Arabidopsis thaliana: one gene and its partner. The protein of the gene in region 1 interacts with the protein of each later gene in a pairwise test. Each region holds a gene or a part of one and is shown in the gene's direction. Other genes may lie near its edges.

The links.
Region 2: the proteins of AT2G42940 (region 1) and MTN1 interact in a two-hybrid assay, tested with the Arabidopsis thaliana proteins (one large-scale study listed by BioGRID).

Annotation. Positions count from the first base shown.
Region 1 is NC_003071.7:17,861,620-17,865,327, reverse strand, and holds AT2G42940 (Putative AT-hook DNA-binding family protein), read left to right. Parts: upstream 1-1,871; 5' UTR 1,872-2,057; coding exon 2,058-2,831; 3' UTR 2,832-3,074; downstream 3,075-3,708. Other genes in the region: AT2G42950 (Magnesium transporter CorA-like family protein), read right to left, coding at 200-291, 389-577, 667-1,030, 1,136-1,269. UniProt on the Arabidopsis thaliana protein: Transcription factor that specifically binds AT-rich DNA sequences related to the nuclear matrix attachment regions (MARs).
Region 2 is NC_003075.7:18,112,501-18,117,335, reverse strand, and holds MTN1 (methylthioadenosine nucleosidase 1), read left to right. Parts: upstream 1-2,159; 5' UTR 2,160-2,339; coding exon 2,340-2,439; intron 2,440-2,527; coding exon 2,528-2,591; intron 2,592-2,674; coding exon 2,675-2,766; intron 2,767-2,925; coding exon 2,926-3,032; intron 3,033-3,274; coding exon 3,275-3,349; intron 3,350-3,452; coding exon 3,453-3,527; intron 3,528-3,598; coding exon 3,599-3,691; intron 3,692-3,783; coding exon 3,784-3,981; 3' UTR 3,982-4,175; downstream 4,176-4,835. Other genes in the region: AT4G38810 (Calcium-binding EF-hand family protein), read left to right, coding at 253-552, 860-1,084, 1,187-1,315, 1,502-1,729; AT4G38790 (ER lumen protein retaining receptor family protein), read right to left, coding at 4,359-4,407, 4,491-4,615, 4,743-4,823. UniProt on the Arabidopsis thaliana protein: Enzyme of the methionine cycle that catalyzes the irreversible cleavage of the glycosidic bond in 5'-methylthioadenosine (MTA) to adenine and 5'-methylthioribose.

The DNA of each region.
Region 1 (3,708 bases):
ATCTTTCAAACTCTAAGAATAAGATAAGACAAATAGGTTCTATCAAAGCAATACAAAGGTTTAACAATTTCATTGGCTACACCGTATAGACCATGTAAATGTGTATCCACTGCTAAAGACTTTCATAATGAATACTAAACTTCCCCAATATATACAACTTTTTTCACAACTTAATCTAGATTCAAGGGAAGGGAAATACCTATCATCCCAGCGTGCAAGGCGGCATGCAAGATGTGCTATTAGTTCATGAACGGTTCTCGGAATGCAGGCTCCACCAGCAATAAGCATTTCCTGGTAAGACAGAAGGAACCCCAGAAGACTGAAAACCAGTTTTGACTAATTGATCAACGAGTAAAGGAAAACAATGATTCAAATAAGAAGAACAAACCTGGACTTCAGTAATACCTAAGACACTAATGTTCAAGGCAAAGCCTTTAACGTGCAATGCAGTCACCAGAAAATTCTGTGCTTGCCAAGACCTTAAGACAATAGGTATGTCATCTTCTTGGATGAAAGGATCACCCGCTGATTGTCCCAACAGCTCAAACAGCAACCCACCAGCAACTCTGACAGGCACCTATCCACCAACATATTAACAAATTTCAGCTATAGAATCATAGCACAGCTCACATTACAAAGAAGCAACATAACTCAGATTTTTGTTACCTCATAGAAAATATGTTTCATTCGTTCACTAATCAGTTTGCTTTCGTCCCGCAGAGCAAGACTGACCGCGGGATGTAACCAATGCGCATTACGTAACCACGAGGCAATACCATGATGGGTAGCATCAAGATGACACCACCAAGTTGGACCAGCAAGTGGTCGTTCCCAGTAAGGAGCAGCAAGCTCAGCAACAGTGGCTTCATCCTCATCTAAGTCAATCTTTCGCAAATCCCAATTATTATCAACTTGAACAGTCTGAACAAGCTCAGAGATCCTATCCCATCCAATTCCTCGCCAATAACTCCTAGAATGTTCTTCGTCTTCACCAGTACCAAATTGATCTGTTTCACATTCCTGTTTCTTTCTATCACAACAACAACAACACTGTTTAAAAAAACACTCTACAAGAAAAAGAAAAAAAGAGACTAAGCACTAATATGTATCAACAAGTTAGTAACAATCATCATACATTCTGAGAGACGAATCTCCATGGACACTTGTGTTATTCTTACGACGACCTTGACAAAACTCGAAAGCACAGATAAGTCCATTGGTCCAGAGATTATGGTAACCTGGATTCCCGTTCTTGTGATTCGCATTCATGCTTCACTTTAAATCACAGATTTTCGATTCATATCAGTCAAATCTCGTTTTCTGAGTAAAAAAAACAATCTCGAAATTTTAGGCTGCAATTTCACGTAAGATCATCAGGAAGCACGGAATTCGAAAGAAAACTAAGCCAAAGGAGTCAAACGCAACAACCTTCCCCAGAACTTCCCTGAATTTTCTGCACCGATTCGAAGAAAGAAAACAACAATTTGACTGAGAGAGAGAGATGAATGTGGCACAGGTCGAGGACGACAAGTCAAGGCTAAGAACCAACCACACGTGTACATTTACATATTTTGGGCCTTATTGGACCTTCTCTGTAGGACCAATTTAAAAGCCCAATAAGAGTCGAGTATGGAAGGCGATAAAATACAGAGCAGTGGACGACTCTCATTTTTTGTTGTTTCTCAACTCTCGATCAGTATTTGATTTTAGTTTTGGTCCCAAAAAGGGTATAAATTTGGTTGTAAATAGCTACAAGATGTTTAAGCATTATTATGAATCTCTCTGTTAAAGAAGACAATTGTCATGAATCAAATACTTAATCATCTGTTGAGAAGTAGGCTGCCAGAAACTTTTCTTTTTTTTCTTTTTTTGCAAAATAAATTTGTTAACTATTAATCACAATTTTTGGTGACAACTTAACCATCTCCTACTCCTCACAATCATTCTTTTGGTGTCTCTACCATTTAATAATTCACCAAAATCTCCTTACTTAAACTCACAAACTCCTCACAAATTTTCTGAATCTTTCAGTTGAACATATAACAACATTCATAACAATGGCTGGAGGTACAGCTCTAACTCCAACCTCTGTAGGATCCAAGTCTGTTCCAATGAGGAACCATGAAGCAACAGAGAGAGGCAACACCAACAACAACCTGAGAGCATTACCCAAAGCCGTCCAACCGGTTTCATCAATCGAAGGAGAGATGGCTAAGAGGCCACGTGGCAGACCCGCTGGCTCCAAGAACAAACCCAAACCACCAATCATTGTGACTCACGACAGTCCAAATTCCCTCAGAGCTAACGCCGTTGAGATCAGCTCAGGTTGTGACATCTGTGAGACTTTATCGGATTTTGCAAGAAGGAAACAGAGAGGTCTCTGCATTCTCAGTGCCAATGGTTGTGTCACCAATGTGACATTAAGGCAACCAGCTTCATCAGGAGCAATTGTCACATTACACGGACGTTACGAGATCCTCTCATTGCTTGGATCAATCTTGCCTCCACCAGCACCACTTGGAATAACTGGTCTGACCATTTACTTAGCCGGACCTCAAGGACAGGTTGTTGGTGGAGGAGTGGTTGGTGGGCTAATCGCATCTGGTCCTGTTGTTCTCATGGCTGCATCTTTCATGAATGCTGTTTTTGATCGTCTTCCTATGGATGATGATGAAGCTGCCTCTATGCAGAACCAGCAGTACTACCAGAATGGAAGATCCCGTCCTTTAGATGACATTCATGGACTGCCTCAAAATCTGCTCACTAATGGAAACTCGGCTTCTGATATCTACTCTTGGGGGCCTGCGCAGCGTGTCATGTCGAAACCTTAATACTACTGCTCTAATCTCCACGTTTCATCATATCAAATGCCTTAATCTTATTATCTCATTTACCTTGGAATCAAAGATAAATGTGTCTGTAGGTTGAGAGAGAACCGTAAGTCTGGTTAAGAAACTGAAGCTTATCTCCCTTTGTAGTTTGTACCTGCAACAGTAAAAAGAAAAAACTGAAAAAAGCAAAAGTAAATGATTATGAATTTTAAGCACAATCCTCTAATTTAATACGAAAATATTACAATATTTTTATCCTTGATCCAAAGTGAATGTTGGCCATTAATAGCAGAACATGTGAAGAATCATACAAACTGGTGATTTCTCTTTACCTGTGTGATACCAATTGCAGTTGCACCGTTCCAGCAATTATTTAGGAAACTGAGCTAGCAACCAACTTCTGATTTTACTCCACTCTCATCCCAGTTTCAACATGTTATATAATCTGTAAATCTCTAGAGGATTTTTGAGGGTTTCACTAACAAGATACAAACTCTTGACGTTTCAGATATCTGGGGATTAAGGAAATAAACGCGGTTTCTCATGTTTATGATTGGGTACTTTCATGAGCAATGCCAAAAACATTAGTACGTCTATCACCTTAAACATCATAGCCTATTTCCCTAAATCCCTATTTCATTATCTAACTACCTTGAATTAAAATCAGTACTTCTGTGGGTAGAATAACATGTTTGGTGATGCTGAAGCTAATCGTTATGTACTTATATCTAGCCAGTGAAGACGAAAATATGTGAAAGTTTTCTCCTTGCACCTCACGGAAAACTTAGTAGATAAATCACAAACACATTAAAACTGACATCGAATGATAAACTAACCTTCAAGCACAAACTTCCAAACTTTTCTGGATTTGGATCAA
Region 2 (4,835 bases), on another chromosome or scaffold:
ATTAATTAGATCAAGAGGACATTGATTGTAGATTTGTAGTTATTAGCTGCAAAGATATCCAAGAAGAAGTAGTAAATCTGAATACGAATCTCTCTCTTAGTGGATACAAATCAGTATCCAATTACTTATCGTTAGGTTTAGCTTTTGGTGTATTTAAAGAAGAGACAACGAGATTAAACCAATAACCCTCTAGCTGTCTTATCCGTACATTTATTTTTCATCGTTTGTAACGTTATAATAAACTATATACAGGTCCTAAACGAATTCACTCATGGGAGTCAAGAGAAAGTGAGCAAGACAGAGTTCAAAGAAGTGTTGTCGGACATTTTGTTGGGTATGGCTGCTGGTCTGAAACGTGATCCTATCGTCATCCTCAGGATGGACGGTGAGGATCTCTCGGAGTTTGTCCACGGCCCTGGATATGAAATCGAGAGCATTTCTGTTTTCTCAGAGCTCTCCAGTAGCAAGGACGCATCGCTCCGTGATTGTATCGTCAAAGCTCTCCAGTCTCTTTCTGTTGATCATGGAATGCCTCCTTCCAACGACCCATGGGTACCTATTTATTTTATTTTTATATATTTCTGTTAAGCTATGGATTTTCCTAATTTAACTTCAAATCTAAATTTATATGATTGATAAAATAAAGCATATAATATTAAGAACCGTTTGTTTTTGTATTTTTACCAAAACCGTAAAAATACTTTTCGGGTGTTTTTTTTTTGTTGTACAAAATATCAGAACGATACTTACATGGTGGGAGTACATATGATACGTAATATGTATCCAAGTTCGTATTTGATGTTATATATGTTGCTAGAGACAACTGAGTTTTGCCTAAAAAGCAAAGTCCTTGTAACAGGTGATGAGCAACATCGTAGAACCAATTGTTGACTCTTGTCTTGATGAAGAAGATAAAAGAGAGAAAAGCGCGTCTCAGGAGAGATTCTTGGAAGCATTCAAGAGAGTCGTGGAGAGTGTGGCTCAGCGTCTCAATGAACAGCCCGTGATCGTTGCTCACAGCGAAAACACCTTTGATGGGAGCGGTATCAGGAGGCTCTTGTCCAATAAATTCGAATTCGATAAGGTAAACTACCATACATATATATGTTATCTAGCTTTTATGCTAAAGGAAAACTTTTTAAATGATGGTAACGAGTGATGATGATCCGGAACGGTTTGGTCGCAGGCACTAAACGTTGCCATGGAGACGATTCCAAAAGACCGTCAGGGTAAGGTGTCTAAAGGATATCTACGAGCTGTGCTTGACACTGTTGCACCATCGGCCACTTTACCACCAATAGGCGCTGTGTCCCAGGTAAATAATGCCCCGTCTAAATTATTTTGTCTTTTAAATTGTTTATTTTGCCTTTGAATTTACATGTTACAATTATTTGTTAAACAAATGAAACCAGAATTAGTGTTTTAATCAAAAATTATTAGTGAATTTTTATTTTTATTTTTTGAACGGCATTGATTAGTTAAGTTTGTTTTTGTTTATAAGATGGATAATATGATAATGGAAGCGTTGAAGATGGTGAATGGAGATGATGGAAATGTGGTGAAGGAAGAAGAGTTTAAGAAAACAATGGCAGAGATATTGGGGAGTATAATGTTGCAGCTCGAGGGTAGTCCCATATCGGTTTCCTCTAACTCGGTGGTTCACGAGCCGCTCACCTCGGCTACCTTTCTGCCGTCAACTTCGACTGATACAGAGGAGCCTTCAAACTAATCATAGAAGGGAATAAGCAGCACTAGCAGCAACAAATGTTATATGGTTTTGACTTTTGAGTGTTTACCCCCAAAAGTTTTAGATTAATGAGGAAAACCGTCTTTACTTTCAGATGTATAAAATTGAAAGTTTGGGGTTTCCTCTTGTTGGTGTGGTGATTCTACTCATGCCTTTTTTTTTTTTTTTCTAATGACCATGGGATGCAATGTTTACTCTGTTTTTTAATTTCGTTAAAATTTGTTTACGTTTATGATGCTTGAATGGCTATGATGAAACATTTGAGTTATCTTTAAAAGTGTGAAATAAATATTCTGAAGTTAATTGAAGAATTTGAAAATTTGATTACAAGAGCTTGGCTAAAACTACAAGGAGACCAGATTAGTACAAAAACTTAGCTAAATTTAATTAATTACGGTCATTAGCACAAAAAAATAATTTGTTTTTATTATATTATTATTGGTAAGTGGAAACACAAAAGAGGACCAAAAGGTCCAAAAACGAATAAACTGTATCTCTCATTCGCCGGAGTTTCCAGCCGTTTCTTTCCGATTCTCGGATTTTTCCTGGGAATCAAACGCATCGCCGAGAATCGGAAGAGAGGGATAAGGTTATGGCTCCTCATGGAGATGGATTAAGTGACATCGAAGAACCTGAGGTCGATGCTCAATCGGAGATTCTTCGACCGATCTCCTCAGTCGTCTTCGTCATCGGTACTTTATGATTTATGAAGTTTCCGATTCGATCGATTTCTTCTTCGTCTTCTTACTTACTTTTTGTGTGTTTCTGACGGAGCTGCAGCTATGCAAGCGGAGGCTCTTCCTTTGGTCAACAAGTTCGGACTCTCTGAAACTACTGATTCGCCGTTAAGAGCTCTCCTTTTTTCGATTTTGCTTGTTTGGATTTGATCTCCATGAATCTCTCACTTCAAAGTTTACTTTTTTGCAGGCTTGGTAAAGGATTGCCCTGGGTTCTGTATCACGGCGTGCATAAAGATCTTCGAATCAATGTAGTTTGCCCCGGAAGAGATGCAGCTTTAGGTAAGCTTTGCACTCAATGCTCTCAAAGATATGATAATTAGCCTGTGAATCTCTCAGCATTTTAGTATAGTAGCTTTGGTTTCTCAAGTCGCTGCATTGTTTGGTATGAGGGAAAATGAATGCACTTTTTTTATGCTACTAACTGAGATTTCTCTCCAGGGATCGATAGTGTTGGAACTGTTCCAGCTTCTCTCATAACTTTTGCTTCCATCCAAGCATTAAAACCTGACATCATAATCAATGCCGGAACCTGCGGTGGCTTCAAGGTACAGTTCTTTTACTTCTCGTGTGCTCTGTCTTGACTTCCAGCATCCTTGCTAAGAACCACGTCCTCTCTTCTTTCTTTACTTGTGGTTTGGGTTTGATTTTGTTACTGCTCGTTTACTCAACTCTGAGATTTGAGTTGCATCATAAAAGATCTCTCTCTCTCTCCATATCTCTATTTTTATGTTGTGAAAGTTGGTTTATTTTCATGTAATGAAAGTGCTGATTGGCTGAACATTTGCAGGTCAAAGGAGCCAACATAGGCGATGTATTCCTTGTATCTGATGTTGTGTTTCATGATAGAAGAATACCAATTCCGGTAGGTTCATCTTCCTTTCTTTCTTTTTTCCATCTTTAGTGATGATTCCCTTTTTGCCAGTTCATCTTGCAAGTTCCTGAGCAATGTTTGTTTATCTCTCTAGATGTTTGATCTGTATGGAGTTGGTCTCCGTCAGGCATTCTCGACACCCAATCTCCTCAAGGAACTCAATTTGAAGGTATTTAATAGACTCAAGATGCTACTTACTCTTTTAACTATTTCAATTTTGACAAAATTGGGGTGGTTCAGATTGGCAGGTTATCTACTGGTGACTCGTTGGATATGTCCACGCAAGATGAAACATTGATCATTGCCAATGATGCTACGCTAAAGGACATGGAGGTAGTGTAATGTTAACAATTCTTATTACTGAATCTAACCAGAAAATCAATGAAACTGTTGTTTTGAAACTCTTTTGGCTCTGGATTCTTCAGGGTGCTGCCGTGGCGTATGTGGCTGATCTTCTGAAAATACCAGTCGTGTTCCTCAAAGCCGTGACCGATCTAGTGGACGGAGATAAACCTACAGCAGAAGAGTTCTTGCAGAACTTGACAGTTGTGACCGCTGCATTAGAGGGAACTGCTACTAAAGTGATCAACTTCATCAATGGGAGAAACCTTTCGGACCTTTAACTTCTGTTCTCTTCCTTTTTTATGGAGAGTGATTTTTTAAAATGCGTTCAACGTGCTTGTTGCAGTTTCACTGATTTCCAGTGATCATATTTCTCGTTAATAAATTTCAAGTTATAAGACGTTCTCTCCCTAGTGTTGCTTAAATTTTGGTAAAGAAACAATTTCAAAGATAACTTATCGACCTGAAAGACGTTAAATCCCTTGATAGGCAAAATATACAACACTGTAAAATTAATTCGTAACCGAGACACTTGGTGAAACCTCAAGACACATAAACGATGAAATCAGAGGTAAAGAAAAATTGAGCTATCTTTCCCAATTAGAATTTCCGTCAAGCTCATCGCAGGACATCGTTGGGGTATTTCTATCTTTTGAACTTATACTACTCCAGACGGTAGCCGGAGAACAAGCTGGCCTCCGAAAACGCTGTAAAGAAAAATGTTGAAACTTTTGAGATATATACAAAGAGCTAAATAGCTAAACTGTTGAAGTGAAGGACTAATGCGTACCTTTTGACGTAGTAGTAACAGAAATCTGCCAAGATGAAAGTTTGAACAATTTCTGAGATCAGAACCATTGATGGCCACAATCCATAACCCAATGCTACAAGCAACCGTCCCCGCGTGTCCACAACCTATTTTCAGCACATTAGACAATGTATTCAGCTATTCAAAATCGACTTTTAAGGTACTAATCCAATCGAGTATAGGAATCACCACTATTGGTATAACCTCTATCCACTCTTGAAGATCAAAACTAACCTGTAAAACCCAGTGGGCACAGCTGAGGAACCTTGCTACTCCAAGTGCAAAAACATAATGAGCCGTGAACGGTTCAACAATCTGAAAACCAAA